Linked DNA regions of Drosophila melanogaster. The protein of the gene in region 3 interacts with the protein of the main gene of each other region in a pairwise test. Each region holds a gene or a part of one and is shown on either strand. Other genes may lie near its edges.

The links.
Region 1: the proteins of CG32264 (region 3) and CG9083 interact in a two-hybrid assay, tested with the Drosophila melanogaster proteins (one large-scale study listed by BioGRID).
Region 2: the proteins of CG32264 (region 3) and ImpE1 interact in a two-hybrid assay, tested with the Drosophila melanogaster proteins (one large-scale study listed by BioGRID).
Region 4: the proteins of CG32264 (region 3) and CG2116 interact in a two-hybrid assay, tested with the Drosophila melanogaster proteins (one large-scale study listed by BioGRID).

What each region holds. Positions count from the first base shown.
Region 1 is NT_033778.4:24,894,599-24,901,436, reverse strand, and holds CG9083 (uncharacterized protein), read right to left. Parts: upstream 3,165-6,838; 5' UTR 3,096-3,164; coding exon 3,078-3,095; exon of another isoform or gene 3,010-3,077; coding exon 2,074-3,009; 3' UTR 1,932-2,073; downstream 1-1,931. Other genes in the region: Tpc2 (thiamine pyrophosphate carrier protein 2), read left to right, coding at 933-1,904; NaCP60E (Na channel protein 60E), read right to left, coding at 382-593, 6,831-6,838.
Region 2 is NT_037436.4:8,369,071-8,377,271, forward strand, and holds the start of ImpE1 (Ecdysone-inducible gene E1), read left to right. Parts: upstream 1-3,334; 5' UTR 3,335-3,513; intron 3,514-5,674; exon of another isoform or gene 5,675-5,730; 5' UTR 5,731-5,905; coding exon 5,906-6,001; intron 6,002-8,201.
Region 3 is NT_037436.4:3,783,090-3,791,479, forward strand, and holds the start of CG32264 (uncharacterized protein), read right to left. Parts: upstream 4,872-8,390; 5' UTR 4,468-4,871; intron 1-4,467. Other genes in the region: CG32266 (uncharacterized protein), read left to right, coding at 7,755-7,766, 7,998-8,219.
Region 4 is NC_004354.4:8,125,988-8,133,458, reverse strand, and holds CG2116 (uncharacterized protein), read right to left. Parts: upstream 3,648-7,471; 5' UTR 3,541-3,647; coding exon 1,744-3,540; 3' UTR 1,676-1,743; downstream 1-1,675. Other genes in the region: CG10958 (uncharacterized protein), read right to left, coding at 1-947; cyr (cypher), read left to right, coding at 5,854-6,398, 6,481-6,769.

The DNA.
Region 1 (6,838 bases), on a different chromosome or scaffold from region 3:
TGATGTACACAGTTCCAAAATTTATTCCCGGCTTTGAAATTTAACGAACGAACGGCATTTACCCTGATTTCCTTTTCGGTTTTCGAGGGCCGTTCTAGGCGTTTCCATTAACCCCAGTTTCCCTGAGCCAAAGTGCACTTCCACTTGTGCCTACAATGGGGCAAGTGCAGCGAGACGGCGGTATGAAAACAAAAGCAACAACAGCCGCGCGCCGCGTTCCATTTCCGCCGCCTGCACCTGCCACCACGAGGATTGCCCTACCATGAGAACACGGATCTGGGGTCTGGTCGCCTGCCTGTGACTTTTTAATTAGAGCCAATGGGCGGCCAAGTGAGGCGAGGCCGCGGATAATGAGGGAATGTTGAACGCGGCAGTACTCACCTCCTCGTAAATGAAGGTGTCAATCTCCTCCAGCGGCTTTCCGTACATGTGCTCCGGAAAGGGCTCGAATTTGCGGGGCAGCACGTCGCCGTCCTCCACGGAGGCCTTAGTGCGCGGGTGGAAGCCGTACTCCCGCACCAGCTGGATGTGCCGGTTCTCGTGCTTAACCTGCGACCTCTGCGTGTACGCGACAACCTGGTGCTTGGCGACAGCTGAAAGAGATCGAAGGGATTAATAATGCGACAACCAACACAAGCATAGAAATGTATGTACATTCACATGCAGACCCCAACTAAAGTACGTAGACACCTTAAAAATTTTAAGCTTTTACATTCTTGTCAGAGAAATTATTGTGTATTTTAAAATTTCGACTAAATATTAAATTGGAAAATACTGTGTAATTGGCCAGAGCTTAATAAAAGCCTAGCCACTTTCTTATACAGTAGCAGGAAATTTAGCTTGCGGAATGACAACACACCACTTCGTCCTCATCTGTACAGTGAATAACTCCTGCCGTGAGTGAATCCGTCCACTGCTCGTCGCCACATCCGATGCCCGAAAACTCGGTGGTAGTCCAGTTAATGCAGGCCGTCGGCGGCGGAATCGCCGGAGCTGCGACGCGGACCATAACCCAGCCGCTGGACGTTCTGAAGATCCGATTCCAGATGCAAGTGGAGCCGGTGACAAACCATAAGGGGTCCAAATACCGTGGAGTCATCCACGCTTTCAAGTCGGTGTACGCCGAGGAGGGAATGCGCGGTATGTTCCGTGGTCACAACTCCGGCCAGGTTCTGAGCATTTCGTACGCTCTGGTACAGTTCTGGTCCTACGAACAGCTTCGCTCCATGGCCCACCAGTTTGACTACTGGAGGGAGCGACCCTTTCTCATGTTTTTCATCTGCGGCGGCATAGCCGGATGTCTGGGAGCCGTGGCCGCCCAGCCGTTCGACGTGGTAAGAACACAGATGGTGGCCGCAGACCCCTCCTCGCGCCGCAGTCAGATGAACACTTTTACCGGACTTCGAAAGGTCTATAAGATGGAGGGGTGGATGGGACTTTCCCGAGGACTACCCTTCACGCTTGTGCAGGTGTTTCCGCTGGTAGGGGCAAACTTTCTCTTCTACAAGTACCTCAACGCGGCTGTCTTGATGGCCAAGCCTCCCGACCAGCGCCAGGAAATCCACGGCGCATTTCTGTTTCTCAATGGGGCGCTGTCAGGGGTGTTGGCCAAGATGATCGTGTACCCGGCGGACCTGCTTAAAAAGCGCATCCAGCTGATGGCCTTCAAACAGGAACGTAAGACCTTTGGTCGCAACCCCGAGTGCCCTACGATCCTGGGCTGCATCACCACCACGTTTCGGGAGGAAGGAATCGGAGGCTTCTATAAGGGAATGTTGCCTACTCTACTCAAGGCAGGACTGATGAGTGCCGTGTACTTCTCCATCTATGACATGTTTAAGCGCCACTATATAGCTCCGATGAAAGAGGCGGAGAAAAATCGGCAAAAACTGGGCAAGCATTAGGTAAATCACATACTGGGCGGCTGGCTTAAATTATTACACTAACATGGTTTATTTTGTACACCAGTATCTTGGGAGAATGTGTGGAATATGGATGAGCGAACATGTCAAATATAAGTTAAACGTGAACAGTAGACTAGACGACCAGATGGCCAACGACGGACATTGCCGTCTACTTCCAGTTTGAACTGGATCCTGCCCAGCCGCCTGAGGCCGGCGCTGAGTAGCTGTATCCGTCGCCACCGCCGCCGGAAGACCCGCCGTAGGAGCCACCGCTGCCTGAAGCAGCGGCTGCAGCCACCACTTGTGTATCATAGCTGGATCCGCCGCCACTGCTATAGCCACCGCCATGTCCACTGCTGTATCCTCCAGAGCTGTAGGACGAGCCGCTGCTGTAGGAGGAGGCTCCGCTGTAAGAGGATCCACCAGAATATCCACCATCGTAGCCCCCGGAGGAGCCACCACTGTATCCACCGGAGGATCCGCCGCCGTATCCGCCGGAAGAGCCATGTGAATCTCCAGCCGCAGCAGCAGCCACAATCACCTGGGTGTCATGACCTCCTCCGCTGTGACCGCCACCGCTGTAGCCGCCGTATCCTCCGCTGCCACCATGATCAGAGGAGTCTGAGCTGGCGGCGATGGCTGCAATGTTGGCGATGGCATGGCCACCATAACCTCCGCCGTGTCCGCCGCTGCCTCCATGTCCGCCATGTCCGTGATCGGAGGACGAGCCAGCAGCAGCAGCGATGGCAGCAATCTTGGCATCATCATGACCGGAACTATATCCGCCGGAGCTGTATCCGTGGCCACCTCCACCGCCTCCGCCACCCCCGGAACTGTATCCGTGGTTCTCGGTGATAACAGCATAGGTGTTCACATGACCACCGCCTCCTCCACCGCCGCTGTATCCGCCATCGTGGGAGTGAATCTCATAGCCTCCACCTCCATGGCCGCCAAAATCACCGCCTCCGTGGCCGCCAAAATCACCGCCTCCGTGGCCGCCGTGATCCCCACCGCTCTCTGGCAGGTGAATACGGATGTGGACATGCTCTCGTCCGAAGGTGGGCTTTCCCCATACCGCTGGGCTAGCCAGCAGAAGCGCACTGATCTGGGAGTGGGAGGAGGGAATCTGTGTTAGGATCCACCTGAACTGACGTGGTGTCGTGCCAAACTCACTATGAAACGGGCTGCCATTTCTCTGGATTCGTTACGAAGGACTCTCGAATGATTGCTCGCCTCTGGACCGACTGGAAATGATTCGGCAAACATGGGCACACGCCGTTTTATAGCCCTCTTCTCCACTCGGGAGCCATGCGGTTATATAAGCGATCGCTTGCCGCTGAGCAAGTGCAGAGATAATCTCTTTCGCCGACGACGAGCTGAATGAAGTGGAGCCAGACCACTGGAGACTTCACGACCGCGACCCATTGAAGGCCAACTGGCCGCGTCTTCGTCTTCGTCTTCTTCTCGGCCATCCAGTCTTCACTCTCCCTTTCTGAAGATCGCGAGAGTGTTGACCTTTCACATCATCATCCCCAGCATGTGCCCAATTGCAATACCACACGGATAACGTAAAAAAGGGTCTGTGACTCAAAATTATTTTAAATCCCATGGTGTGATGCCAACTTAAGTGTATCAATCATCTTTGGTTTTCCATTTTCAATATTTTACATGATAAACAAAACCGGTTTCGTAGACCAATTTAAGATCGCTAAAAGATATCTTAAATTCCTTTTGCTATATTTACGTAAGAAAATCATATTTTACGAAAGCAGCTTGGATACTGCATAAAAATGTTTTTCTAAATCTAAGACTTTTATTTTGTAATTGTAATACACGGATTCTCCCAGTGCACTAACACACTCTCTCGAGGAGCATTCGCTTCTGTGCTCTACTTTCTTTCGAGAGAAAATCTGAGTGGCCCTAAGCTTCGTGGGCTGGCGGCCGAAAATAGCTAAAACCGAAACTCAAACTGTGGTAATATGCAACTTGACCAGTTCCAGTTTTGGCCCAGAGCTCGTTGCTATTGCTACTTTATCACATCGCCGATGCTGGTTGTTAACCGTTAGGTATTTTGTTGACGTTCATGTTTATGGATTTTTATGTAGATACGACGAACTTCCTATTGGCAATTCCTTATTGTTGGTCCAGACTTGCATAACGATTGGCCAAGGGTTGGCCGGGTTGGCTGCTGCCCGCTGGCTGCTCACTGTCGCTAGTCATTAACCCATTGATGGCCGTACCAGTGCCGGAAATTATCAATATAATTTTGTTTACCAACGCGAAGCAGTGGTGCCGCGGCTGTGAGGCAGGGAAGGAGCCAGTTACTGTTCTTTGGATTGGGCCAGGTCAGGTCGCCGTTTGGCGAGAGGCTCTCGAGCGCTATTGGGTTAAGCCTCGCCTGCAGCAACATCAAAAATATCTTGTCATGCCCCCGCGCTGCAACATGGGCAAAAGGCAACGCGCCGTGGGTTTTGTTCGCGCTTACATCAGCAAGATGTCCGACTGGCAGCGGAGAGAGGTCATGGCCACTGGCCACCCAACACCTCCAACTCACCCACCCACCAATCTGGACGCCCCAACAACCCCCGCCGCCATGCTTTCGCCGTTGATTAGCCACTGTTTTCATTAGCAGTGAGTGACTTGGGCCGAGCCAGCGAATCGGGGCCATCCGGCCATTTCGATTACGTCGCTGATTATCATTTCTCATCTGGCAGCTACGGAGCTAGGCAGCTGACTGCTCGCTCGGCAGATTCCATCACTGCCGAATAATTAATATACATTTAAACTGTTTCGGATTGTAAACAAAGCGGGCTTACATAAGGAACTAGCTGGGAGCAGCAAGCGGGACACCGACGCAATAATCTGTTGCCAATAAAGCCACATCGCCGGTCATAATCACGATGCTGTGCCGAATGAAGTTCGAACTGGAAGCCGCTGAGCTGGAGCAAATGGGCTGCACTCCAGTGCCATCAGAGCATCTTTCAATGGGGATTACATCTTCAGCTAGAGAGGGCCACGCTCACGATGATGAAGCTGCTTCTGCTGCCCCGGCGATGACGGCAATGACGATGGGCAACCGGTTGGCGGTCGCACATTAACATCAGATGCAACGAAGACGCACATCTTCCCCATATTGCATAATCGACCCGGGCTCGCGACTCGAAACTCCAGACCTGCCGTCGCATCTTCACGCGGAAGCAAAGTCATTCTCAAAGCGCCCAAAAACAAAAAGGAAATTGCACACCGATACAGAAACTAAAAGCAACTAGCGACGTGCAATGTCGTGGTTTTCCCAAAAAACCAGTTGCATCCACACACAGAGAGAAAAAGGTGTGCTACAAGTGATTCACGAGATTGTGGGCAACAGTTTTAGAATTGTGGGGAAAGTCTTGAAAAAGTCAATTCGATTTTCTGCTATATTATGGTGCTCTCTTGATACTCCTTATGTACTGCATGCTTTGCTTCGGATTTCCTGGTTTAACTTTCAAAGTTTGTTGTTTAAAGTGCAGCCATTGTTGCAGTTGCAACTGGCATTGCTGCCTCTGTTGCAGTTGCAGCTGCGCAGACCTTTGAGCAAGTTCAATGGTGACGGGAATGGGAATGGAAATTGAAATGGGATTGGGATTTGGACTCGGAGCGGAGGCTTAGGGGGTAGGGCAATTACGCCCCTCGCAGTTGGGGCGCTTGCTCTCGACTGCTTCCTGGCCCTGGCCAAAAACCAAATCCAATTCGAGACTGGCAAGGCGGAAAGGAAGGTGGTCGGTCCAAGCCCCAGCCCAAGCCGAGCCGAAGGAGAAACCGAAACACTGGCTGCAGTGATGCGGGACAAACAAAAGTGAAAAAGTGAATCGGTAGGATAAAGCGAGATGCAGCAACAATTGCTCTACATATTTAATTAGTTTCCGTTTCCGTTCATATTCGTAATCCGCAGATGGCAGCGCCTGCTGGCCTTTGTGCATTGTTCACCTCCCCAGTGAATATACTCCGCTGACAATGGCGCCCTGCGCCCACTTATCAACCCAAGGCCCACCCACTCACTCCTGCTGTAAGGACAAATGGCGCTCTCTATCGGCGCCTGCAAAAACGATTGCGTAACTTATGGCCAGTCATCAGCCGAAACTTTTCGGTCCGACAAAAGCGCTTCCCATTTTCGATTTGTTTATCATTTATTTAAACGGCCTTAGGGTCACTCTGCCCCGCCATTAAGCTGGTTCGATTCCATTTTCGTTTTATTGGCCAAGACCCAGGACACAGGACCCAAGTGCCCCAGACCCAAGCACATGCCCCGTATCCAAGGCACAACCGGCACACAATGAGCAATGCTATTTAATTATGTTGATGAGCAGGACCGGACAGCAGGACAGGAGTTCGGGAAGTGGCAGGAAAACGCTCAACACGCACAAAAAGGAAATGCCTTTGGTCCCCCCACCCCAACTGCCTTTTATATGGCACTGTGGGTGGCTGTTGAAGAATGTCAATCTTTGAGCTCATAACTTGACCTGCTAGTTTATTCTTAAGCCAATTGTTGGTTTCAGGGATAAAAATATGCAGAAGTGAACTTAAATAGGCCGAGAAATTAATAAAATTGTAAAAAATAAAACAAACTTGCTCTCTATGGAAAGAAGTCGTGCAACTCCAGTCAAAAGACTTCTGTGTGTGCAGAACCACTGTGCACGTCTTTCTTTTGGTTGGCGTGCAGGTGTCGCTGTCAGGATGTCGGAGGACCTGATTGAGGAAGGAGAAGGAGCAGAAGTCCTGCCCTGTGACACCTGCCCCCTGACCATGCATACTCCCGCATACAGATTTGATGGCCTCCCGGTTACCCAACTCCCCCCTGGTCACATCGGGAATAATATTTATGAGGCCGGGTGGCTTAGAAAACTATCAATAGCAGTATCAGGAGGGCTTAGCGGTTAGGGGACTCACCTTTCTCA
Region 2 (8,201 bases), 4.6 Mb from region 3:
AATTATAATAACCAGTTTGGGCTGCTATTTCTTTATTTTTTACTTTGTGTGTGTGTTTTTTTTTTTTGGTTTGCCAAAACCTTCGTTCAATGACCCTGGGCAGGAATAGGGTCCCAAGATGGGCAGAGAACCATGCAAGGGCAATAACTCTCCGTTTTTTTATTTTTTTTTATTTCTTGCAAATTCTGCGGCGAAAGTTGATCGGGCGAAAAGAGATGGAGAGCGATTCCCGTGCCGAAATCCCGAAAAAAGGCAGAAAAGAAATGCACATTTAGATTATACGAGATATTGGCCAGAAGTGGGTACGAAAGGTATGCATACCTTTCCTTTGGCACATGGCCCCAAAACTGCAATAAACTAGTGGCCCAAAACGAACAAACAAACAGCAGCAGAATAATGCTTTATTCCCCCTCTCTTCAATTTTGTATTTAAAAAAAAAAAAACATTTTTTTTTTTTGGTTGTGTGTATGCCTTCTGTTGGACAAAAATTCCGAAAAGCAAATCCATTTTGTTCCGACTTTCATTTTGGAGCAGCGGCAAGCGCTGCACACAGTTTGAAGACAATTGTATAAATGAAAGTTTAAGATCTCCGGCGGCAACTGAACATTGCGGGCATTTTGGGCACCTGTGTGTGCATGTGTGTTTGTAGGGCAGTGTACATGCGATGGGCCGGGGGGGCGGTGGGCGTGGCGGCAGCGACAGGTACACCGGCACTCAAGATCGATAGCAGTCCAATAAAAAAAAAGGAGTATAAAAAAATAAAAATCCAAAAAGACCCGGCACGTGTTCCCCCAAGAGCAAAGCAAAAGCACTTTTCAATTGTTCACCACTTGTCGATGATCGTGGCGATGATAATGATGCCAACACCGATATTGCTGCTGCAGTTGCTGCTGCTGCTGCTGCTGCTGCGGCTGCTGTTGCTGCTGCTACTTCCACTGATGATGATGAACATTTCTCCAGTGCAGTGTCTTCAACTTTGCTACGATTTCGATTTACTTTTGCTTTTCATTGTTCCTAATGCGATGATGATGGCCACTGGCTGCCGGCTGTTTGTCGAGACATTAATAACAATTTCATGGTTTTCAACACAAAATGCACACCCATCGGAAACTTTTCCGATTTTCAATAGTTTCTATTGAATTTACACAACAATTTTGCAGTGTTTTTTGGGTTTGCTAAGAGGATTACCAAATGGTATCAGTTAAAAGCGTTACGGTTTCTTCTTGGAACCGATACTTTTAATTTGAATGGTTTTAAATAAAAGTTTGATATTTTTGAAATAAAAAATACATTTCTACTTAATGAATGCTAATAATAATGTATGGTTTTATATGATTTATATATATGTTATATTAACTAACCTATATAAATCTAATGAACTATTTATTTAAATTTCTCATCCCTACATCCAAGATATGCCGAAATCTTAAAAACTTTCTTTAGTGCAGCCCAATTTCTTTGTATAAGTTTTAAGAAGCAAATTTTAAGGGTTCAATCCTCTCGCATTTCCTCGATCTTGATCGATTGATTCCATTGACTTCGATTCCATTGCCCCCGGCCGAAAGTGAGAAATCAGAATTAAGCAAGTAACCGTGGACAATCAGCGTCAATTATGGCTATGTTCCTTAACTATATACATATATGTTCATATATGGCCATTATATGCGATTTCGATTCGGGACAATCAACTCTTTTTTCGCTGAGGAGGGTGCTCCGCTTCCGGTGCTTGAAATAAATCTTCAAATTAAGATGCTGTCTTCCAGAAAATGCTCGAAAATCGAAGCAACTTTTTGTAGTTTTCGCCGAGAATGAGCGAAACAAAGCGGGCAGATATAAAATTGAATGTGAAATCAAAAACGATCAAAAGCGCTTTGAAGTGACCACTTGGCACAATATGCGATGTCTACACCCGACTTGAGTTCAGTCGGTTCTTGGTGAATGCGTGGGTGGGTTAAAAAGTTCTATATTATCAGTATTTTATCAGTTTAAAATTGTCTTTTTATCATTAATTTTATTATTTATGCGACAGAACTAATTTTTGCAGCAAAACTTGAATTTAGTACGGGCAAATCGAACAAAAACTTCCAGTGCCACCCTCTTGATAATCTGAAAATCTGACAGCGAAAAACAGTTTGTTTAAAATGAACTCAAATGCGAAAATTACACCCCAAGCGACCAATTTAAAACCATTAAATTATAATTTTAAATTTTAAAGAGCTCGAACGACTTGAAGGGAGGGCAGCCGTGGCATTATTCAATTAGGGAAGACGCATTTGTATAGTTTTTGGACTCCCAGCCAAATGGAGTGCGTTGGATCCGACCACGATCATCCCCATCCCCATCCCCATTCTCCACCTCCACTTTTCACTCGGAAGATTATTCTTAACGTTTCGCAAGTCGATTTCAGTTGCTTCACTTGCCTCATTGCGATTGCAACACGGGTTCAACTTCAAGTGACGGAAGTGGGAAAACGAAAATCAACTACAGTTGAGCCTCTCTACCGTGTACTTTCCTCAAACGTAATATTCAATCATATCGAACATTTTAAAACTGGTGCCTTACTAAGATTGAACAGGAAATCTTATAGAATCTTAAAGATTTATTGTACTAATTTTTTTGATAAAAGCTTTTAAGATTCTTCAATTTAAACATAAATATAATAAGCATTTTTCAGTAGTATGCTGCAACATGTTTATATAATGTTAATTTTTTATTAGCCCTCAAAATTGGCTATTTAAATGTATATGTATATATAGGCCTATTAGGCCCATTCGATCTATAGATGTGGCACTGTAAGATAAAGCGGTTAATTTCGAAATGAATGCAGTTGCCGGGCAGCAAAAAGTGGCGATTTCGGCGTGTAGGTGTACAAACGCTTCGCCGTTTATCTCTATTAATCTGTGCGTTCGCACTCGCTCGCACCTGACACTCATAATTAAAGAAACAAATAAAGCAGCGCACTGGCTGCTGTTGCGCCTGCGCAGCGGTCACATTTGCATAGCAGCAGCAGCAACATCACTCGCAACAGCGGCAACACAGCAGCAGCAGCAACACAGCAGCAGCAGCAGCAGCAGCACAACAGCAGCAACAGCAACCATGTGAATCCAAGAGTTCGGCACTTGTCGTGTCTTCAAAAGCTTTGCTGCCTTGACTTTGACTTTGGCCAAAAGCTCGCTTTTCAGCCAAGAGTTCGCCGCGTGTTGCTGTTGTTGCTGCTGTTGTTGCTGCTGCTGTTGCTGTTGCTGGTGCTGCTGCTGCGGATGTTGCTGCCGCTGCGCGACTGCGAGCGCGCGGCTGCTTGTCTTGGTTCTTTAAGTCCGTGGCTGGCTGGCTCCTCTTCAGTTCGTTGCTGACCATCGTTACGTGCGGACGTGCCCAGCTCAGCTCATCTTCGTGTGATGTGGCTGCACTTTGCACACTAAACTTAAGATCTGAGCCCAAAACGTTTTCCAAGCTGCAAAAATATAACAAAAGTGCCGCGACGCGTGTGACAAACGAAAATCGAGTAAAACGGTAGCTAAAACAATGATTCTATGAATATGAAATAAGAGAGCGCACAAAAATATGGAAGGAAATAATAATACTGATAATAATAATAATAATGATCGAGGGATATTTTTTGGAATTGGACTAAGGCGCGGCCATCGGGCCAACTGAGTGTAATTTCAGTCAGTTTCTTGCGCACAGACACACTCGCCAGGAAAACAAACAAACAAACCAACTAAGCAACCAACCAACCAACCAACCGACCAACCAACAAACAAACAAACAGCGAGCGTCCAGATAGACAAACATACATGGGAAGGCAGTCAAGTGAAGACAGTGCAGAGTTCTCCTGTCCAGTTTGCTGCAGATGCGGTTGGAGATGCAGTGGCAGTGGCATCAGCAACAGCACCAGCACCAGAACACACAGCGCACAGAACCCAGCCGAACCAAAACCAAACCGAACCGAACAGATGCAGATGCACCCAAAGCCAGTCCAGCATCAGCTCGGATCTGGCTTTAACTTTGGCTTGGGCTCCAACTTCAGCTCCAGCTCCATCTCCAGCTCCACTGGCACATGTGCTGGCGGTGGAGTCGCCATATTGGGTGCATAACGGTGCTAGAATCGCGCTGCTTTTTGCTTTTGCTGCCTTGTGTCTGAGTGTCTGAGTGTCTCTCGGCCAGCTTCTTAGCCAGGCTGTTGCATTTGGCTCTCGGTGCACCGCATCCCAACCCATCTTATGCCATCGCATCGCATCGCATCGCATTGATGACGACCCAGCGACCGATAGACCAAGCGCAAAAACCGCAAACTAAAAATGCTGATCCCCTTTGCCAGCGACCCGCTCTTTTGCGGTCGCCAGCCCAACACTTTGCACATGCTGATCGATTGCGGAAGATCTCCGCCATCTCCAGTTCCATTTGCATCGTCCATCTGCATCTCTGTATATGTATCAGCTACTCCAAGGCTGACTGGGTCACCAAATTGAGTCGGCCAGTTGTCCAGACACTCCCACCAACTGGCCCCTTTGACCAAATGCCAAATATTAGTAATAATATTCTCGTCAGGTTTTTGCTTGGTTAACCAATTATTCTTTATTCTGAAGTAGAAAAGTATATGGTCATAACTATTGGTTAAATATGTCGAACTTCCCTTTTTTCTTCCAAAAAAGTTTCAAAAGACTTAACGTAGCCTAATGCCTCATTTTATCCTTATCTGTGCATTTAAAATTAAATCAAGGGACACCCATTTTCTTTCTTCTAAATTCTATACAAATTTCAATTAAATATTCAGCTTCCAAAGATAGCACATACGTTTTTCTCTGTGCAGCGACTAGTTCTCAGGCCATCTCACCTTAGACCAATTTAAATCGAACTCTTAGGCCCTGCCTCATTGTCAGCTCCGTTTTCCCTTCCTTTTTTCCCATTTTTTTTATTAAGTTATAAAACTGCTGGAGTTAGTAGATGTTTTATATCGGCACAGAGCTCAGTTTTTTTTTTTTTTTGTGATGTTCTTCTCAGCCGCCTAACGGTAATGCCCTAGAGCGCCACATTCTCAGACCCAGTCTTCCAGTCTCGAACTCTTCGGCCCAGACTCATGCATTGCAATAAAATGAAATTTTATAACAGCGTCAGCGGCAGCAGCACCGAACAGATACAACGACGGCAACAAAAACGTTACCCAAATTCCAAAAAAAAATATATAAAAAACCTGAACGAGAGAGAGGGAGACAGGCAAAGGTCGTCACAGCAAGTGAAAATAGCAAAGCCAAGAAACAAAACCAAAAAACAAAAAAAAAAACTAAAGACGGCGGTCGAGATAAATAAACGAAATAAGTTTTAGGGCCTAGTGGCCCAAACAAGAGCTAGGTGGTTCAGGTGTTAATTTCCCATTTTCGGGTTTTCTTCGGCTGCCGCGCAAGTTCGCTGCCTAAGTCTTTCGTTTTAAAGTGGAGCGACACCGCGCGCACCGCTCGAATGCCCATTGAATGCGAATGAGGGGCGTGTGAGCCGCAAGCCGGCCGGTTCAACTGCAAAATAATAAAACAGAAATTATTATTATTATTATTTCCCTCATTTTTGTGTGTTGCTTGTTAGTGGGGCGCATTTCCTTTACCCGAAAAGAAAAAAAAAATGAAAGAAATGAAATAAAGGAGAAGAAACCTTTTCGTTCCGTTTTTGACCCTCAAAGTTCAGAGTTTAAGTCAAGCCTCCCCTCACCACCACCACACTGACTCCTTTCCACAGCGAAAAACATATATTTACGACTGCAACGAGAGGAATACCAGCTACAGGAAAATAACCCAAGAAAAGCGGCTGAAAAATCGAAAAAACCAAAAGAAAACACACAAAAGGAGGGAAAAGCGAGAAAAGCCTTCCCAGGGAGATCCAAAGCAGCTTCTTTGGAGATTCAGAAGCGGCAATGACGGCGACTGCGAGGCAGTCGGCAACATCGAGAAAGCAACCTGCGATCGCAATGCTCAATGGAAACGCTTTTACGGTTAAGCGGCTCTTAGCGGTAAGTCAACTCATCTAAGGCCAAAAAAGGCAAAAACAAAAAAAAAAAAAAAAAGAACTAACGACAAAAAATCAAACTGCACTCCCCCACATAAAAATCATCATTTGGGGCGTTGCCAATTCAAATTGCTCCACAAAAAGCAGCCAAAGCAAATGTTTGTCACCTGGTCAGTTCCGAGCACCATTGTTAAGCACTTTTTCGCTTTCTTAAACAAAAGATTCATTTTTTTGGCACAATTTTCGACTCTTTCATCGCGTGGGCTCACTTCAATCGTGGGCCGCTGCTCTGCAAGATAGTTTTTCTCCTTCTCGTGTGTAAAGAGCTGTGAAGTCGGCCATTGGGTCAAATTGTTGCTGATAGATGGCTAGGCAGGCGTCGAAGATCATGATGATGTCGGTTGTGTTCGGTTGGGGGTCGCCACTTCACCGACTGAGTAATGTGGGCAAATTAATCTAATAAAAGGTGGGAGTCTTCGTTGCCTCTGCTCCACTGGACCGAACTTCATTCCAAGAGAAAACAAAAAAAAAAAAAACTCAAAGCTCGAGAGTGGGCATTAAGTTTAGTGAATTATTTGCTTCATAAAATTTCATTGCCCGGCACTTAATCATTATTACTGCGGGAAGAGTCATTATGGGTGTACTATGGGAACTAGTTTGTCTATTAATAAACGATTCTATTGAATTTGCTGGCTATTTTGGGATTCCAAGAAAAGTGCAGACTTAATGCAAAGTTAGTTAACTTCAAGTAAGTTATTGTTAATGATTTTCGCGGTTAACAATCTCATCAATTTAAATGTTCTTCTAAATATCGTACGTTTCTTTGTGCCAATTTATTTATCAGGACTGGCATTTGCATATAAAAAATGTGAAATTCAATTTGCAATCAATTTTTTTTTTTGTAATTGAATAAGAGTTTCCCATGCGATGCACAATCTATTCATGGTGCTAAATCAATGGAATCTGTTTGTTAGAAAGCAATCGGCCAAGGGCTTCTCAACTCCAGTACTTGAGAGAAAATTTCCTTCCAGCAGTTATTTTTTTTTTTTTTTCACTCCAGCCAAGACTAACAAACAATTTATCCGTTTCGATGTTGTTTGTTATTATGGTCCGCTGCTGCCCTCGGCCGGCCCATTCAACCCATTTCGAGCCAAGTGCATTAAGTCTTGGCCAGAAGAGCCAGTGAAGCCAGTAGATGGCCAGAAGGCCCAGTAGTTGGCCAGCAAGGCAGCAAGAGCCGCTGCATCTGGGCGCTCCACCTGCATTCGGACCGGCCAAAGGTCACCAGACGGTCTGGCGCCCGACGATCATTAAAAGAGTACGAAAGTAATTTGTAAAACACGAAAACTTATCTACTTCTTTTTTTTTTCGCTGCTGCTGAGCCGAGCTTTTCTTGCTGTTCTTTTACGATTCTAAATTACAATGACTGCAGAAACCGAAAAAAAAAATATGCCACTGCAACGGGTCTTCATTAGCACAGACTGGTCGTAAACCCAAAATAAAAAAAAAACATTTTCACAAAAAAATAGGCAGCAAAATAAATAAGCCAAGTCAGTTCGCCGCAGGTGATAAATGGGGTTTTGGCAGCTTGGGTCTTAAAGACCGGACCTTTTGGCCAGGAAGACGAATGGCCTGGCGAAGGATTACAAATGGTGAGGTGGACATGGGTTGACGGTTATTAGCAATCCGCCTGCAGATCTTTGTTTACGCGCTTTTCATTTTGGCAAGATGACAATGCTGTGGCCAATAACGAAAGTAACCCCCGAGTTATTGGGTCAAAACGAAACAACAAACTCGGACACAATGGTCAACACATTCTCTTTATTCTATTTAGTGCCAGTGCCAGTGCCTCGTGCTCGAAAGCCTCTCGAAAGCGTAATTAAACAATTTCTTCTCTGTTTATTGACATTTTATTGATGCCGCCGAGCTTGAGCGGTTTCATTTCTGGTTGTTCTGCGGTTGTTTGCGATACCAATTCCAATTCCAATTCCTATTCGGATACAGATACTTTTCCCCCATTCGGTGTCTTGTTTGTATTGTTGCTCCCATTGAGCGATACTCCTCGGATTTTCAATGGATCTTGTGGAGTGCCTGCGAGTGTTGTTTTGAATAGAGGAGCACCGAATGAGTGGCGAAATGATCTCGAGACTCGAGGAAAACACCTCTCAATGGGGATTATGTGGTGTAGTTTATTTATTTATTGT
Region 3 (8,390 bases):
GGCGAATTAAAATTCAATTCGTGTTCCTTCCTTTAATTCGACTCGTTCTGCTTGTTTTCACTTTTCCTTGATCTTTGAGTGCCAGCATTTTGTATGAAGAATATTTAAGAATCTATAGAGAATGTTTCATATCATAGAATATGATTCATTTCACATTTATATTGACATTGAAAATAGCAAACTGGAAATATAGATGAAAACTTTCCCCAATATGATAATAACTCAAATTCAAGCCCCATTTAATGGCTGTCCGTCATAAAAAAAAGTGCCCGTATAAATATTTTTTGTATTTCTTGTCTAGTCTGCTGGCCCACAAAGTCGATAGGAATCGTAGTGAGTTGTTAACCAGAACAGCGCTGGGCGAAATCTTGGCTAAGAGTAACTGTAACTAGGCTTTTGTGGTCCGCTGTCCGATGTTTTGTGGTTGTTTGAGTTGCTTGTTCCAGTGCACTGACTTTTGGCTCGTTAGCTTCGATTCTGTTTTGAGTCGGCAGTTAGTTAACTTTTTACTTTTTTTTTTATTATTATTTCGGTTTTGTGGATTTGGCGCGCGACTCGCATTAAAAAGGCGGCCAGGCGAAAACTGAAGAGGGCTCAGGAAGTGGCGTGGAAACGGGGGAGGGGTGTGGGGGGTTGAATGTTGAACATTTGTTGCTAAAGGCAGTGCAACAAAAAACACCACAAAAAATATATATAAAAGTCACCCATTTTGTTGAAAACATCACAGCTAACATAGAAAGTACTTTAATCAGATAAGTAAAATAAAATGTATTTTGAATTTCACGAATTTTCTATTTACTATGTATAAAATAACTAATTAAACTCATGTTCATGTGTAACTTTTTCGTCAGAGCGATGAATTCAACATACAACTTATTTTTTATGTCGACAGCATTTGTTTTAATGAACATCCATTGAAACGGGGTGCGAAAGAGACGGCGCCAGAAGAAAGAGAGGCGATTAAATTAGCAAATGCGTTGGCTGCAGCGGCGCGGGGATCAAGGGGGTGGTGGGCAGGGTGCAACATATTGCATATTGCACATTGCACATGTGGAACGACGCGGGCAACTTGCAACGTCAGCAGGCGCATATTAAAAAAAAAATATGAGGAAAAAGCTTCAACAAAGAGCGACTCTCCCCCTCTCGCTCGCTCGCAGTCTCCGTCTCTCTTCCACTCGCCTTGTGGCAAGTTCATTGAACCTCATTTACAGTTCAGTAGTTTAGCGATTTTATTCTCATGAGAAAGAGACGGCAGCAGCGTGGGCTAGAAAGAGATGCACCCACTGAGAGGGAGGCCCGACTTTTATTTTTGGGGCAACTCTGGCTTTGCAAAAAAAAATTTAAAACAAATCTTATAAAAGCACACAATGTTAAAGTATCGCAAAAAAATGTAGATTATTATTTTAATTATTCCTTTATTAAACTAGTATACTTAAATGATCCGAAAGAAGTCAAGAAATGCCTAAATGATAATGGTAATTTTGCAATTTAGTACTAGAAATGTAGTTCAAGTTATGGGAACATCCGGTTTAGGGAGTTTCGCCTGTAAAGCCAAACAATGGGCTGCGAAAAAAAAAAAATCGAAATAAATGTGAGACCAGAAAGGAAAGCGTTGGGAACCAAATAGTAACAAAAACTAATGCGATTTGCGGCAGCAACAAAAAAAAGCCTCTCGGATTCATGGATTTTTCGTTTGAGAGGCGCCGCCGCCAGCCAAAAGCAATCAAATCCAATTAAATGCGAAAAAAAATCCTGAAAAAAACGCACAGATAAAAACGGTGGAAGCAGAACTTTTGTGTACAACAAAAAATATTGTTTATGTAAAAGCAGCAGCGTAAAAAAAACAAAAATATACCAATAACAACTTCCAGCACACGCGACTTTAAACAACAAATTTGTCGAACGCCGCAAGAAAATTTCAATGAACGAAGGAAAGGGGGGCAGAGATGGAGGAAGTACGGAGGCAGCAACAAACAGAAAAGGCAACAAAAACCGAAACAGCAGCAATGGCAAAACCAACAACAATCAGCTCTTTTGACCAGCAGCTGTCGCACAGTGGGATGCACAGTGGGCAATTAGGGGTGGATTAGCTATCAGGTGCAGAAATGGTTTGTTTAAGCTACAGAAAAATTCCTTTTTAAATGCCAATCTGCTAATATTAAATTGGGAAAATATTGCGATTGTGCACAGTAATACCTCCAATTGTCATACAACCCATTCCACTGTGCCCATGCAGCACAGTCCACAAGCACAAGTGTTCGGGGTTGCTGCTAATGGAACGCAATTCACAATTCACTGGGAATTCGCTATCTCTGTCTGCAGCACCCCTCTTTGTCGCTCCCCAGTAGCTCCGTCTCTTTCCGACGTTGCAACGACAATGGCAGCAACAAAAGCAAAACAGCGGCAGACAGCAAAAACCAATGGACAAAAACACAAACAAAACGGTGGACAAGAGTCGTCATCCTCCGCTGTTTTTGTTGTTTCGGCAAAACTTCTTTATCCCGGAGAAGGGAAAGAGATGGGCATATGAAGGGAGAAAGAGAGGGTGACAGAACGTTCGCATAAATTTAAAATTGCGCGCAAACGGCGCCCACAAAGCCAAACACCACAGTATGCAATTATCTAAGGAATTTTTAGTAAACTACATGGTAAACTGACGGGGATTCCAAAAATTTTTTATTTTAGTTGCTCAGCATGGTCACACTGTGCATTTCGGTTGAGTCAGCTGACTATAACAGCTGATGCTCTACAGTAAACAAAGAATTTGGAATCTCGAAAAATGTCCTGTTGTTTATAATTACACAATATTTCAATTTGTGTTTAATAGCTGGGTAATCCCAGAATAAACTAAGTGTAGTTTTTGTCTTGACTTCTTTTCTTATGACAGCCTTAGTTTCAATTAGGCAAGCACCACTGTCCGAAAACAACAAGGAAAGGCAATAAAAGGGAGCAGAGAATGCGTTTTGGGGGTTGCTGGATGCTGCAAAGGGGGGTGCTTCACAAAAGGGCCTGCCACTGCTGTGGGTGTGGGGGGGGGTCGAAAGTCGTCGCAAAGTGGAGTAAACTGAAGTCTGGAGCACAACAAAAAGCAGTAAAGGCGGCGGCAGAGGAAAATCCTAGGAGAGGGTGCGAAATCTCGCAGTATACACACCACTACCAGACTTTTCCTATACACATCTATGTACATACATATACAAATGGGTGGCACAACAAAAAAACGGAAGAAAAGCGAAGGAATCTGTCTAGACAACATTGTAAGTAGATAAAAATATTTGGTCGGAAAAATCGGGCGAGGAAATAATGAAATATGTAATTTCCTACACCGTACACCCATCTCTTTCTTTCCCCGCCTATCACTACTACCACTATCTCTTTCCGGCAGGTAATACCTTTTTTGATAAGGAAGCAATTGTAGCACATTTCTCTGCTATTTTTTTCAATTGCACCATCATTAAAATTGTGTTACGGATAAGATAACACAAGTTGGCGCTATATTTTCTTCACATATTTCCCACTTTTCGTGTGAAAATTCCATTTAGCGAGGCAGCGTGCCCCGTACACGCTGAATGAATTAATTTATTCATATTCAACATATTTATGCATTTGTGTAAACAAAAAGCAGGTGCCCGAAATTACTGTAAAGCGGTTATTGTTTACGCAAATGTTTGAATTAAGGAAAGAGAGAGTGAGACAGGTAACTGCTTATTTTTTTGACTGGTTTATTGTTATTTTCTGTTTATACTATTTTTATGACCGCTCTTTCCGCTTTTTTCAAATTCTTTTGTTATTGATTTCACTTTTCTGGATGGTTTTTTAAATACTTGAGATACAGTGGAGCTTTAAAATGGATAACTATTTATTTAAACTTTCTAGCACTTCAAATGATATGAGCATATGAGTTAATTATCTAAAGTAATTTTTAAAAGTTGTTTTCTAAATTAAATAATATAATGATATGATCAGATAATAGCTTCCTTCTTTACTGAGCGTTCACTGTGATCGAATTCACATGAAAGTATTTTTTTTCTTTGCACCTTGCGTATTTTGTTTTGCATCACCTGTCGCAGCTGATTTTTCATTCACACTATTTGTTTATCTACGATTATTATTTTTTTAGCTGCTCGTTAGCTGGTGAAATTCCCATAGAAAATTCATTAAAACCCAGCAAAGGAATTTTAGTTTTAGTTTCTCAGAGAGAATTCGATTGTTCGCTGGTGTGAGTGTGAGTGTTTTGTATGTGTGTGTTTAGTGTGTGAAGAGAGAAGTTGTAAAACCGGATTTTCCTTTTGGGCGCTTTCGTAGTTTTGTTGCCTTTTGCACTTTGCCTCGATCTTCGATTTTTAATAGCCACTTAAATTCGATATTGGGCTGTTAAAAAGTTACAACAATTTTCCTTTCTGCATTTTCTCTGCTTTTATTTTCTTTTCTCTGCTCTTGCATTTTGCACATCACTTGCTTTGCACTTACACTTGTTGATTATTTAATGTGCAATATTTTTATTGCGTTTACTTGCACTTTTTCGTATTCTTTACTCTTCTCAGCTGCTTTTCACTAATAATTTATTTAAATCAAACTGAAGCACGCACACAGCTGCACGTAGTTACGCACACACACGCACGCATACACTAAAAACGCCAAACGACGCGCCGGAAAAAACAACAAAAAGAACAACAACGAAGAGAGCGGCGAAACAACAAAAATCAAACGTTTCAAAATTCTCTTTCGCTTTGCACCGCGAAATTAAATCAAATCGAAACTTAAAAGATTGCCAATGCGATTTTGACCTAATGTTTATTGTGTTTTTTTTCTATTTCGAAGCGAGCGCGACGCTGTTTTTCCGACTTTACGATCCCCAATTGGCGTTCGATGTGCGTTCGTCTGCTCTCAAAAAAATTGTGACAAAAAATTGTTTATATGCCGCAGTGTGGCCAGCTGCTTAGCGGCCGATAAGGCCGAATTTGCACCGTTTCGCGGCATTTGTCGGCAGCGCGGTCACACTCGAGAAGAGAGCGGCTGGAAATTCAAAATTTAATTTGGCGCCAAACTCGATTTTATATCTATTAATAAATTTCTTGATAACATATCGTATTTACACGTGGCTATATAAACAGCATCGAAATATTATTACAAAGATAATATAGTTGTATCTTTGTTTTTAATCGAAATGGTCAATCTTTTTCAATATGATAAATATTTGGTTAATCATTAAGTCATATAAATCAAATTAATAAACGACGTTGAATCAAGTGACGAGTGAACTTCGTCTGCCTTTCATTTCACATTCACAGCAGTTGATTATAGGAACTCAAATTGAATTAGATTTGCCCATTGATTTGCATTTCGCACCCACAAATTCCGCCACCCGATGATAATTGCCAATTTGGGTGGAAAGCCGCCTCCTCTGGCGAGCTGGAAAATGTCGAAAAACTATTGAAAATCAATTTGCATTCCGCACCAGAAACATCCAAATAATGCGATACTAATTCCCCTCTCGAAAACTTTAATACCTCAAAATCCAATGAGGCAATCGGCAAATGAAAATCTTTTCGAGGGAAGCGAAAGAAAAACAAGAAGCAACCGCACTTCAAAAGCAATTTCACCTTGTTTTTCCAAAAACAAATACACACTGAACCAAAATTCAATTCACTAAACAATGGCGCAAGGCAAATCTCTTTTCGGCCATATATAACTTTTCGGTAAGGAATTTCCCAAACTGCTCTTCAAGAATTTTCACGAGTGGTGGCGTCTCCTATTTTTAGGCCCACTACAAAAACACCCTACAGTGAGCGCTCGGAAAAGTGAACTTTTAGTATAATCTTATATATAATAATATATAGAAGAACTAAATGGTAGATTTTCCCAAATTTTACTTTGAATTTGATAAGGAGTTTGAATTATTTTCTAGTTAGTTATATTAAGTCAAGTAAGTATTTACCTCATATATAGTTACAAATATTTATATACATAGTAAATATGTATATTTATATATGGCAAGTACTATTTTTATAAAACAGGAAACGGAAGTATCTTTCGCTCTAGTTGAAAATATTTAATGAGAGCTAAATATATAAATACGAAAAGGGGGGCATGGCAGGGGGAAAACTCAGCGCTGGAATTTTGTTGTTGCTCCAGAAATGCCGGCAAATGAAAAGCGCAGGTCCGCAAATGAAAAACAGAATGGAAAATTCAAAGAGAGAAAATTTTCAGGGAGAGAGCACAACAATAGCAGTTTGAGAGGCGCCGCAAGTTTGCGAAGCACTGCTTCAAGCAGTGCAATATTTACTGTTTATCGCATGCGAGAAATTTCTCGCCGATGTTTTGTGTGACTCCAAAACTATACGAAGAAAATTAATTTTGTAAATGATCGTTCAAATATATTTACGAACTTAATATTTAAAGAGACAATTTATAAGATTCAAATATTATGTTTAAATGTTTTCATTATTTATGGATAAATAAATTGGAAATCATATTTGCACATTATATTTTTATAAACAAATGGAGTTTGTGCTTAACTCATTTATGGTATCCAACATCTTTGGTAATACTATTTTAAAATAGTATTGTGCTTTTGAGTTCTCCCAACAGTTCAGCGTTTTATTCAATCGTCAAGGAAAGTTTTCCACCCACCGGAATAAAATTCCACTTCATTCCGAGCGAACAATTCGTCTTCAATGTCAGTTTTTCCTCGATTTCCCCGCCCATTTTCCCCGAACTTCTTATCCTTCAGCAAAATTAACTTGAGAATCTTGATAAAAGGGCTGCCATTCATTCATTCAGCAGCTTTGCCGAAAACTGTTCTCAATGCCAGAAGCTGCCAACTTAATTTATATTGTATTTAAAATGCAAAATGCACAGCATTCAACAATGGGCGAGAGCAAAGAAAGTGGGCGCTCTTGGGAAAGTGGGCGGGGCACAGCTGAAAAGCTGCTAAAATTTAACAACTTGACAAATTGAATGTTTGTGGAGTGGGCAAAGCGTAACAGCAAAGAAGGCGCCAAACTGAAACAAAATTTCTATTTTCAATCTAAACACTAAAATTCTATTTTCACTTTTGATTAATTTAAAGCAAATGTTTCTATATCCTTGAGTATTATTCGTGATCAGACTATAAGTTTTGAGCAGTGTAAACACAATCAGCTGCATCTAAACAATAGGAACAGCAATGCAAAGGGCTAAGAAAAATGAGGCTCACATAGCCAAGTAGCCAAGGCAACCCGTTTCTCTGAGGTCTTCGCTGTGGAATTCCTCTTGGAATTTTCTATTTCGGAGCTGCGCAAGGAATCTCTGGCAGTCATAACGATAATTGACAATCTGGCCAACACAAATTAACATTGCCAGAGGTCAAATTGCATTTGCTCAGGGAATTTTTCTGATTGCTTCCGTTTTTATTTTTTATTTTTTTTCTCCAAAAACATCTAGCAAAAAACATACATAGGTAAACAAAAGCGCTATTAAGAATGCAGTGCACGCAGCGCAAAGCGGCCATAAAGACGTTTGGGCCAAATTAAAACGGGCCAGAAACGTAGTAGGAAAAAAAAACAATACTACAGCAAATGAGCAAACGTGCCAGGGTCAAGAGTGACCTCTAACCCACCGCCCACCGCCCCTTTTCGTGGGCCGCCCACCAAAGCCGATAGTGAAGCCAAAAGTCCACTTAGGTTTTACTATAAAAGCCAGGGCTTCTGCGTTTGTTTAATCATATCAGTTTCTGTTCAATCAGCGGATATACCACCAAAATCAATCAATTCAAGATGTTCAAGTTTGTGAGTATTTAAAGGGATATCAAGTAAATACCTATGAAGGATACAAGTATCTGACAAAAGTGAATTCTGAAATAATGCAATCAGAGGTTCTATTAAGCTCCTTTCAAGTCACAACATAAGATCTATTTGAATCTAAGGAGTTTTATTGTTGTGGCAGCTCCAAAAGACTGTAATTATTTCCTTGGCTAATGAAATCCCCCCTCACCCTTTTCACCCAACTTTTCTAACCAGTTCGCTCTGTGCCTGTTCGCCCTGTTGGCCGTTGCCTGTGGCAAGCCGCAATTCCTGACCGCCTACAGTGCGGCCTCGCCTGTGGTTGCTGCCACGCCCTACGCCTACTCGGGCGGACTCTACGCACCCACGTACAGTGCTGCCTACACCAGCGGCGTCTATGCCGCCACGCCCTACGCCTACGGAGCCTATCCCTACAGCTCGCTGTACCTGAGACGCTGAAGTTCCCACACCATCGAATGCACACTGTACAACGATAATTCCCGATGACGTCGAACTAATGAACAAATAAACCTGATAAAACAGATAAAGATTCGCATACCAAAGGCCAGCTATTTGCTGTCATTTGCTTGGAGCAACTGCAGATTAAAAGGGGCTGCAAAATGAAAGTGG
Region 4 (7,471 bases), on a different chromosome or scaffold from region 3:
TCGCACTCCTTCTCCAGCCGAATGCGAGTGCTCTTGGTCAGCTCCTCCTGGGACTCGTTGATCTGCTGGGTTTGGCGAGCATAGAATTGCTCGCGTGCCCTTACCAAATTGGCCTTCTCGTCAAAGTTGGCATTCATCGCATCGAAGAAGGTGCGCCACTTCTCCACCGCATTATCGGCGAAGATTTGACGCTCCTCCTCGATGGTTTGCCGCAGCATTTGGATGTGCTCCTTGTAGGCCTCCTTAAGCGTCTCCACCTGGTGATCAACGCGCTCCACCAGACAACAAAGATCCTGGGCCTGCCGCTCGCGATCGAACTCGTACTTGGCATTCATGCGGTCCACCTCCGCTTGGCAGGCAGATATCATCTCATCCTTGCGTGCCATAATCTCGGCAATGCGTTTCTTTTGCTCTTCGATTTGGTCCCACAACAGCATCGGCTCATTGGTCTCCTCCAGCTCCGTCCAGCGCGCCTTAATGTTCTCGAAACGGGCCATTGTCTCAACGCTTTCGCGTTGCAGCTTCACATGCATCTGATTCTTCTGCGCACCCTCGAAGAGTCGGCGATTCAGCTCCCTTCGCTCGTTGGCCACCCGGACATTGGTCACTAGTTCTTTGCCAAAGCGCACCAGTTCGTTCAATCGCTCACTGGACAACTCCAGCCGTTGATCAATCGGCGACTTCTGGGCCTGGCAACGTTCGGCGACGCCTTTCGGGGCCTCGCGGAACTGCTGACGCACCCGGTTGAGTATCGCCAGCCGGCGTTCGTCCAACTTCTTCACCGACTTGTCGCATCGCTCGTTAAAGATCAGGCCATCGATGCGGTCATTAAAGGACTCCCAACTGTCCACTGGTCCCAGATCGGGCTCCACCTCCTCCTCCTCCTCGACACTGCCGTCGCTGACCAGCTCCTGGTGCTCCTCCAGCTCATCCTCGTTGTCGTCCATTGTTTAAAATATATGCCAGGTCGAGATTTGGATGAGAATCGCTTTGTTGTGCGGAATTTCTGAAGGCAACTCTGCTCCAAATCAAGGTGGTTTGTTGTGTGACTGGAGAAGTTTGATCGAAGGATCCCGGGTTCCCTTGGTTTCGTGGTCATTGCCCATTTCGCCTACTTTTCCGGTAGAAACAAAAATGTTGTCTTTACGTTTGTTTACTTCTGTTGTCAGTGGTGCCCGCCCCATTAGTGTTGCAAAACAAGAGAAGTGCAGGCTTAAGCAAATATACATGATCTTTTTTTTTAATAAAAAGTGTCTCATGACTGCTTTACCATATTTTGTCAATAATAATTAACAATAAATCATTGAATAATACGTATTTAATACATAAAAGTCTATTTAGTTTTGAAATTAGTTCATCTCCACCCGAAATAATCGTTATCGAAATGGAGCAATAAGTGCTGTAGCTAAAGTTATTTCCTTCTCACTTCCTCCTGCTGTATAGCCCGTGCTGACGTCACCGGGGCCTTGCTAAATGCAAAATGAGTGGAAAATTCCATTGCCAAAACCGCAATGACCCCTTGGTACAACCAAAAGGCGCGATGTTTGACCCCTTGGTTGCAATCAACAGTCCGAACTTGATGCCCTTTAAAATACAGCCCTGCGGATTTGTACACACTGGGTTGCATTCGACCAAAAAACTTGGTACTGCCATTCAAAAACAAAGTCAAGCGAATGAATTCTTTACATGATAGTATTTAATTGCGACCTATATATGTACAAAATTTGCGCGGAGTTGCGGCACTCAGTTATCCTCAGTCTTCAAGGTGATTTCATATATCAGCTCGTCGTTGTAGTCCTGCCCTCGGCCATGATGCTGCTGATGCTGCTGGTGATGCTGTTGGACAGCGTTAAAGTACTGATCCTCGGTTAGCAGCTCATCTAAATCCTCACCGCCATCCTCTGCGTCCACTGCGTTCTCCACCAGCAGGTGCTGGTCATCGTAATCCGATAGCTGCACATACTGTTGCTCGCTCTCGTCCAAATATTGGCGATTGGACGGCGAACCCTGCTCCTCTGGTTGATTGTCCTCAACCAACAGGCCGTCATCCTCGTCGTACTCCTCCTGCAGTGGGCCCATGCCGTCGTAATCGTCGTCCTGGCCATTCATATTGCGACCGGAAATGGATTCCGAATCGGATCCTTCACGATTCCCATCCGCATTCACAAAGCGACGCGTATTGCTACGGCACTGAATCGAACGCTTGTGGGCATCGAAGTAGCTGATGTCGGTGAACTCCTCCTGGCACAAATGGCACACGTATGTGCCCTGGCTCAGATGCATCTCCTTACGATGACGGGCCATCTTGTGAGCATCGCGACACTGCATGCCACAGAATGGGCATTTGAGCATCCGCCGCTTGCCCATGTGAACATTGCGGATGTGCTCCTGCAGAGAGAAATTCTTGTAGTAGGCCTTCTGGCAGTACTCGCACTGGAATCGCCGCTTCTTCTCGTGCGTCGCCTCGCGATGCCGCTTCAGCTGGGTATTCTGGGCGAACGTCTTGCCGCACACTTCGCAAATATGCTCCTTCTCCAGATGTCGGCGCTGATTGTGCACGCGCAGATCCTGCTTGGTCGAAAAGTATAGGGTGCACAGTTCGCAGACGTATGGACGGATGCCCATGTGGCGCCGCGCATGTCCGGCCAGGTACTTGCAGTCGCGATACGTTTCCGTGCAGTAAATGCAAGCATAGCGATTGGTGCCAGGCACCAGATGGGTCTTGTGGTGCTTGGACAGCTTTGATTTGTGCATCACATCTGGGCAAATGCCGCACTCCACCGGCAGCTTCTCGTCCATGATGTCGCTGATCATGGAGAACTCCACAAGGGGTGTGCTATCCTCGTCAAAGTCCACAATGGTGGCTATCAGGTCGTCGAAAAGCATGTAGCGACGCGGTCCCTTGAACTCCTCCAGCATCTTTTCGCTTGGCTTCACCTCCTTCACGCTACCATCATCGTCGTCGTTGTTTTTTTGGCTGACAAAGCTACGTAAGGCGATCTGGCGGGCAGAATTTCTAGCTTTGCTAGCGGGCTGGACAACAGGCGACGGCGGCCTTGGTGGCGATGGTGGCAGCGAGGGTGACGACGGTGGATACATATCCAGATCCTCTTCCACCCTTTCGTTATCGCGCGGATGGCCGTAGCTAGGTTCGTGCTCGTAGTCGCCGTAGTCGCCATAGTCCGCCTCCTGTTCCATCTCCGGTTCCACCTCCACCAAATCCCCCACTTCGCTCATATCCAATTCCCTGACCACAAATTGCGGCATCTGTTCGTCATCCGTCAAATCCTTCACCCGGGAGCCCACTATAAAGTCGCGCAGCTCCTTGCTCATCAGCATCTCCTTCTCCACGCCGTTCTCATTGACGATGATGATGTCCTCTTCGAACTCGTTGCCCAGGTTGTCCAGAAGCACGTAGGTGGCATCATCGCTAGTGTTAATCACACGAACGTTTCCACGGTTGTCTTCGTCCGAGTAATCGCTATTGGCCGGCAGGACGAATTCGATTACCTCGTTCGCAAGGCAGCGTTTGTGGCTCATCCTGGTCACATCAACTGAATTAATTAATTAATTCGCACGACTGCCGAAAAAAAACGTAAAAAGTTGCAAGTGTGACCAGTCGCAGGTTGCTGGCCGAAACTAACTATCGGATACCAGGTATCGATGCAATTTTCAACAAAATACTCGCTTTGTAGAAATGCTTGCTTCCTTCCGCTTTCATACATCGACTCACTCTGCGTAGATCATAGATCATGAAAATCCAACATTTTGAGCTGTAAATGCCACTCGATTTGAAACTTTATTACAAATTCAACGAGGTATGACATTCCATATATCGACCAATATTAATTTTGTTTCGATCAAATAACTGCTACTTTTTGAAAAGAAAAACGAAAATTCGAGAAATGCGAATACATCTATTCGAATTTCGATCATTGCCTGTGTGAAACGTGTATTTTCTTTACTAAAATATATATAATAAATAAATTAAATATTGTGCCGATGAATAGATCGCAAAATATCGATACATGCGCATTATCGATAACGCGCAATTTGAATAGGTGCTTGCGCGCCAAAAAAAAACATCGCTGGGCATGCGCGACGTCGGCCAACGTCTTTTGCCGCTTTTGGCCCCTTCCCTCATTGTTGTTGTTGCTGTACTGACTGTTTTGCGGTCTGCGCTCGCGACTAACTTGGCTAACTTCTGGACTCGGAATTGGCCCGGTGCATTGCATCTGCACACTCGGTGGCGCGCGCTTGTCTTCTTGAGACTTCTTCAATCCAAAACGGGCGTGTTTCGCGATCTCATCCACTTGTTCAATAGCAGTTAGTGTTTTGTTTTTTTTTTTACGGTGTTTACTGTTTCTGTTCGTTGAGAGCGTGCGAAGTGCGCGCATGCGTAGTAGCTGATAATTAACCAATTTGAAAATTGCGGTTCTTCTGCTTTTTTTCGCAATTCAAATTGACCGCATAATTGCGCAAGGAATGTGATTTTTTTTACTGTTTATAATATAAGTGTTATAGAAAAAGAGAAGAAGCTCAACGCGAAATCTTAAAGAATGCTAAAATTGGGATGATGAAAGGATATTAAATTCGTTCTAAAAGGTAAGAATAATATCAGTTATACATAAAAAAAAAAAACTATGTCAAGTTACAGTAAAAACAAATGGTTAAAAAAATATCACACTTAGATTTAAAGAACTTATCTGTGCGATTTAGAATAAGGACCAACTGAAAGGATCGTATAAGTTTATTGACAAAAAAACATCTATACAATTGTAACCACACATGTTATATTGAATAATATCTCAGTATATTAATTTGTAAGATTAAGGACTAAGGACATAAGCCCTATGATTTTGAAATAACTCAAAACGAGTGAAGGGCACCGTCACTTCGAAAGATACAAATACATACATACTTGTATATTTAGTTTTTAAGTAGAGTCCAAGTTATATTGTTAATTGGGCTGATTACAATGCCCAGTCAAGTTAATAAGAGATGGGAATCACAAATACAAATAGAGAGCACAATAAGCGAATAACCAACCATACTAGCTGCCAGCTAGTAACATCACAAAATAGGATTACGCAAAGTTGCAAACGCATTATGTTGATGTTGATTTAAGCTTCGGTGTTTGCCTTTATCGCATCTATTTATTTATTTATTTGTTCGCCGTGCTGCAACATCTTTAGCCCGGTAGCCCCATGGCTCCATAGCTCCATTGCTTTATAGACTCCATCCAATCAAACAAATATGGGACAAACTTGACCCGCTTTCGTCGCGGATTTGGCATCACATCGCATCGCATGGCATCGAAAATGGGCAGGGAAGGGCTACCCCAGATTGGCCTCTCGTTTATTTGGCCATTAAAAATTACATAAAGTGACAGCGTTGTGCCCCTTTCCCTTTTTCTATTAGCCCTACAATTGATTAAAATCATCAATATTGCTAGCTATACCTTTAAATAGTTATTTAACAATTGAAGTACAAAATTTCCAGTTTAGTTAACCCATTTAAACACGAAAGCCCAGCAGCAACAAGTACACACCATGCCCCCCCCCCCCCCCCCGTAATTACTTGACCCAAAATCATCGCTATGCTATGTATGCAACTAATGCATTTCCATTTCGCAGACAAGATTCTCGAACTTGGACTGGGAGTAGGCCAATTAAGAGTTAGCCACGCGGCCGCACGAACAGGTGTCGTCGCTTCCAACACAGCAACATCTAGTGACAGCAGCAGCAACATCCAAAGACAGCAGCAACAAGTGGCATCATTATCGTTTTGCGGTTTTGATCATCGGCGGGGCGGTTTGCCGTTGCCACTGGTAGAAAACGGGAAATCGGAAACATGTTCTCCTCCAGCGCCTCGGCCGCGTCCACATCCTTCAATCTCGGCCAGCTGCTGCCATTGGCCATCGCCATCGGAGTGTTGCATCTGCCGCAGTTTCTGTGTCATGCTGCCTGGACAACCAGAACGCCGGAAAGTTTCATTAACGATACGACCACCACCACCACCACCACCACCACCACCACAACCAAGACCATGCAAATCCAGGCGATGCAGGTGAACTGCAGCCGGGAGCTGCTCGAGATGCATCTGGAGTTGAGCCGTCCCTTTCGCGGATTACTCTACGCCAAGGACTTTCCGCTGGAGTGTCGCGCACGTGGCAAGGACTCGACGCGTCTGCATCTGCGCATCCCAACATCGGGTTGCGGAGTGAGGGCAGAGCCACTGGAGGACGGCAGTCTGGAGTATACGGTGCGTGTGATGCTGCAAAAGGAGCAGAAGTTGCGCCAGAGCACCGACATCCTTAGCTCGGTGAGATGCCAACTTCCGGCCAATGCGATGGGCATGCCACTTCCGGTGTTGCGACAGGAAAAGGGTCACGATAGGTAATTCTACAAATGCTTTAGTTAATGTAACAAGATGGAGAAGTTCTTTTATGATTCGATATATATATATATATATATGTAGAAATGCCAGGATGCGAGCCTTGGCAGCTGCTGCTGCAGTTCCAGCTCTCGGCGCCACTTCGTCCATCAATCAACAGCAGCGGGAGACGCCACGCGTTAGGATCTGGTTAGAATTGGGCGGTCCCAATGGCACCGGATCCGTGGAGGTGGGCGTCGCCACCACGCTGACGGTGAGAGCCATCGTGCCCGGAAACATCGGAGTGCGGGTGGTGGACTGTGCGGCACTCGATGGACTGGGCGAATCCACGCAGCAATTACTCGATGCCCGCGGCTGTCCCATCGACGAGCAGGTGAGTGAAGCGATCAGCTGAAGCTATCTATCTATATGCATATGCATATATATATGGACGTATCTGGTGGATCGTTCATTTGCGTAACAGGTGCCGGCGGCGCGACATTCTACGCCAGACCAGACCGTTAGAAACTTAACTTGGATGCGACGAGACGAACGGAAAGTCATTAATTAGCCACGATCTCGATGCTGTGGGGCGATCTGCGATTGATCGCATTTAACTTTCATTTTTATGTGCGACATCTAGAGGGTATCAATCTAGAGGGTATATCGGGCCAATCGATGGGAAAAACAAGTGGGAAAAACAATCCATTCACAAAGTTCGCTTAAGTTCATCTGCCAAATGATTTAAGCTGCCAGAACTAAAGTATTTCCAAAATTTTAAAAAGAAATATCATAAAATAGTTTTCAGTCGCATCAACTTCACATACCCTGTAAATTTCTATGGGTTGCGTTTTAGAAACGTTTTAAGTGCATTTTGAAGACGACGAAAATGTAAAACAAAAGCAATTTGATTTTCGATTCTTTGCCACTGATTTCTTGATTGCTGCGAAAGGGAAATCCAAATAGATGGGACAACCTATTGATTGGAAGTCTTTCTTGGGATATTTTGCCGCCAAACAAAAAAAGATACATTATCAAAACTAAGCCTGGCTCATTAAGTGTAACAGTTATTACAGCACCGACCATAAATGTGAGG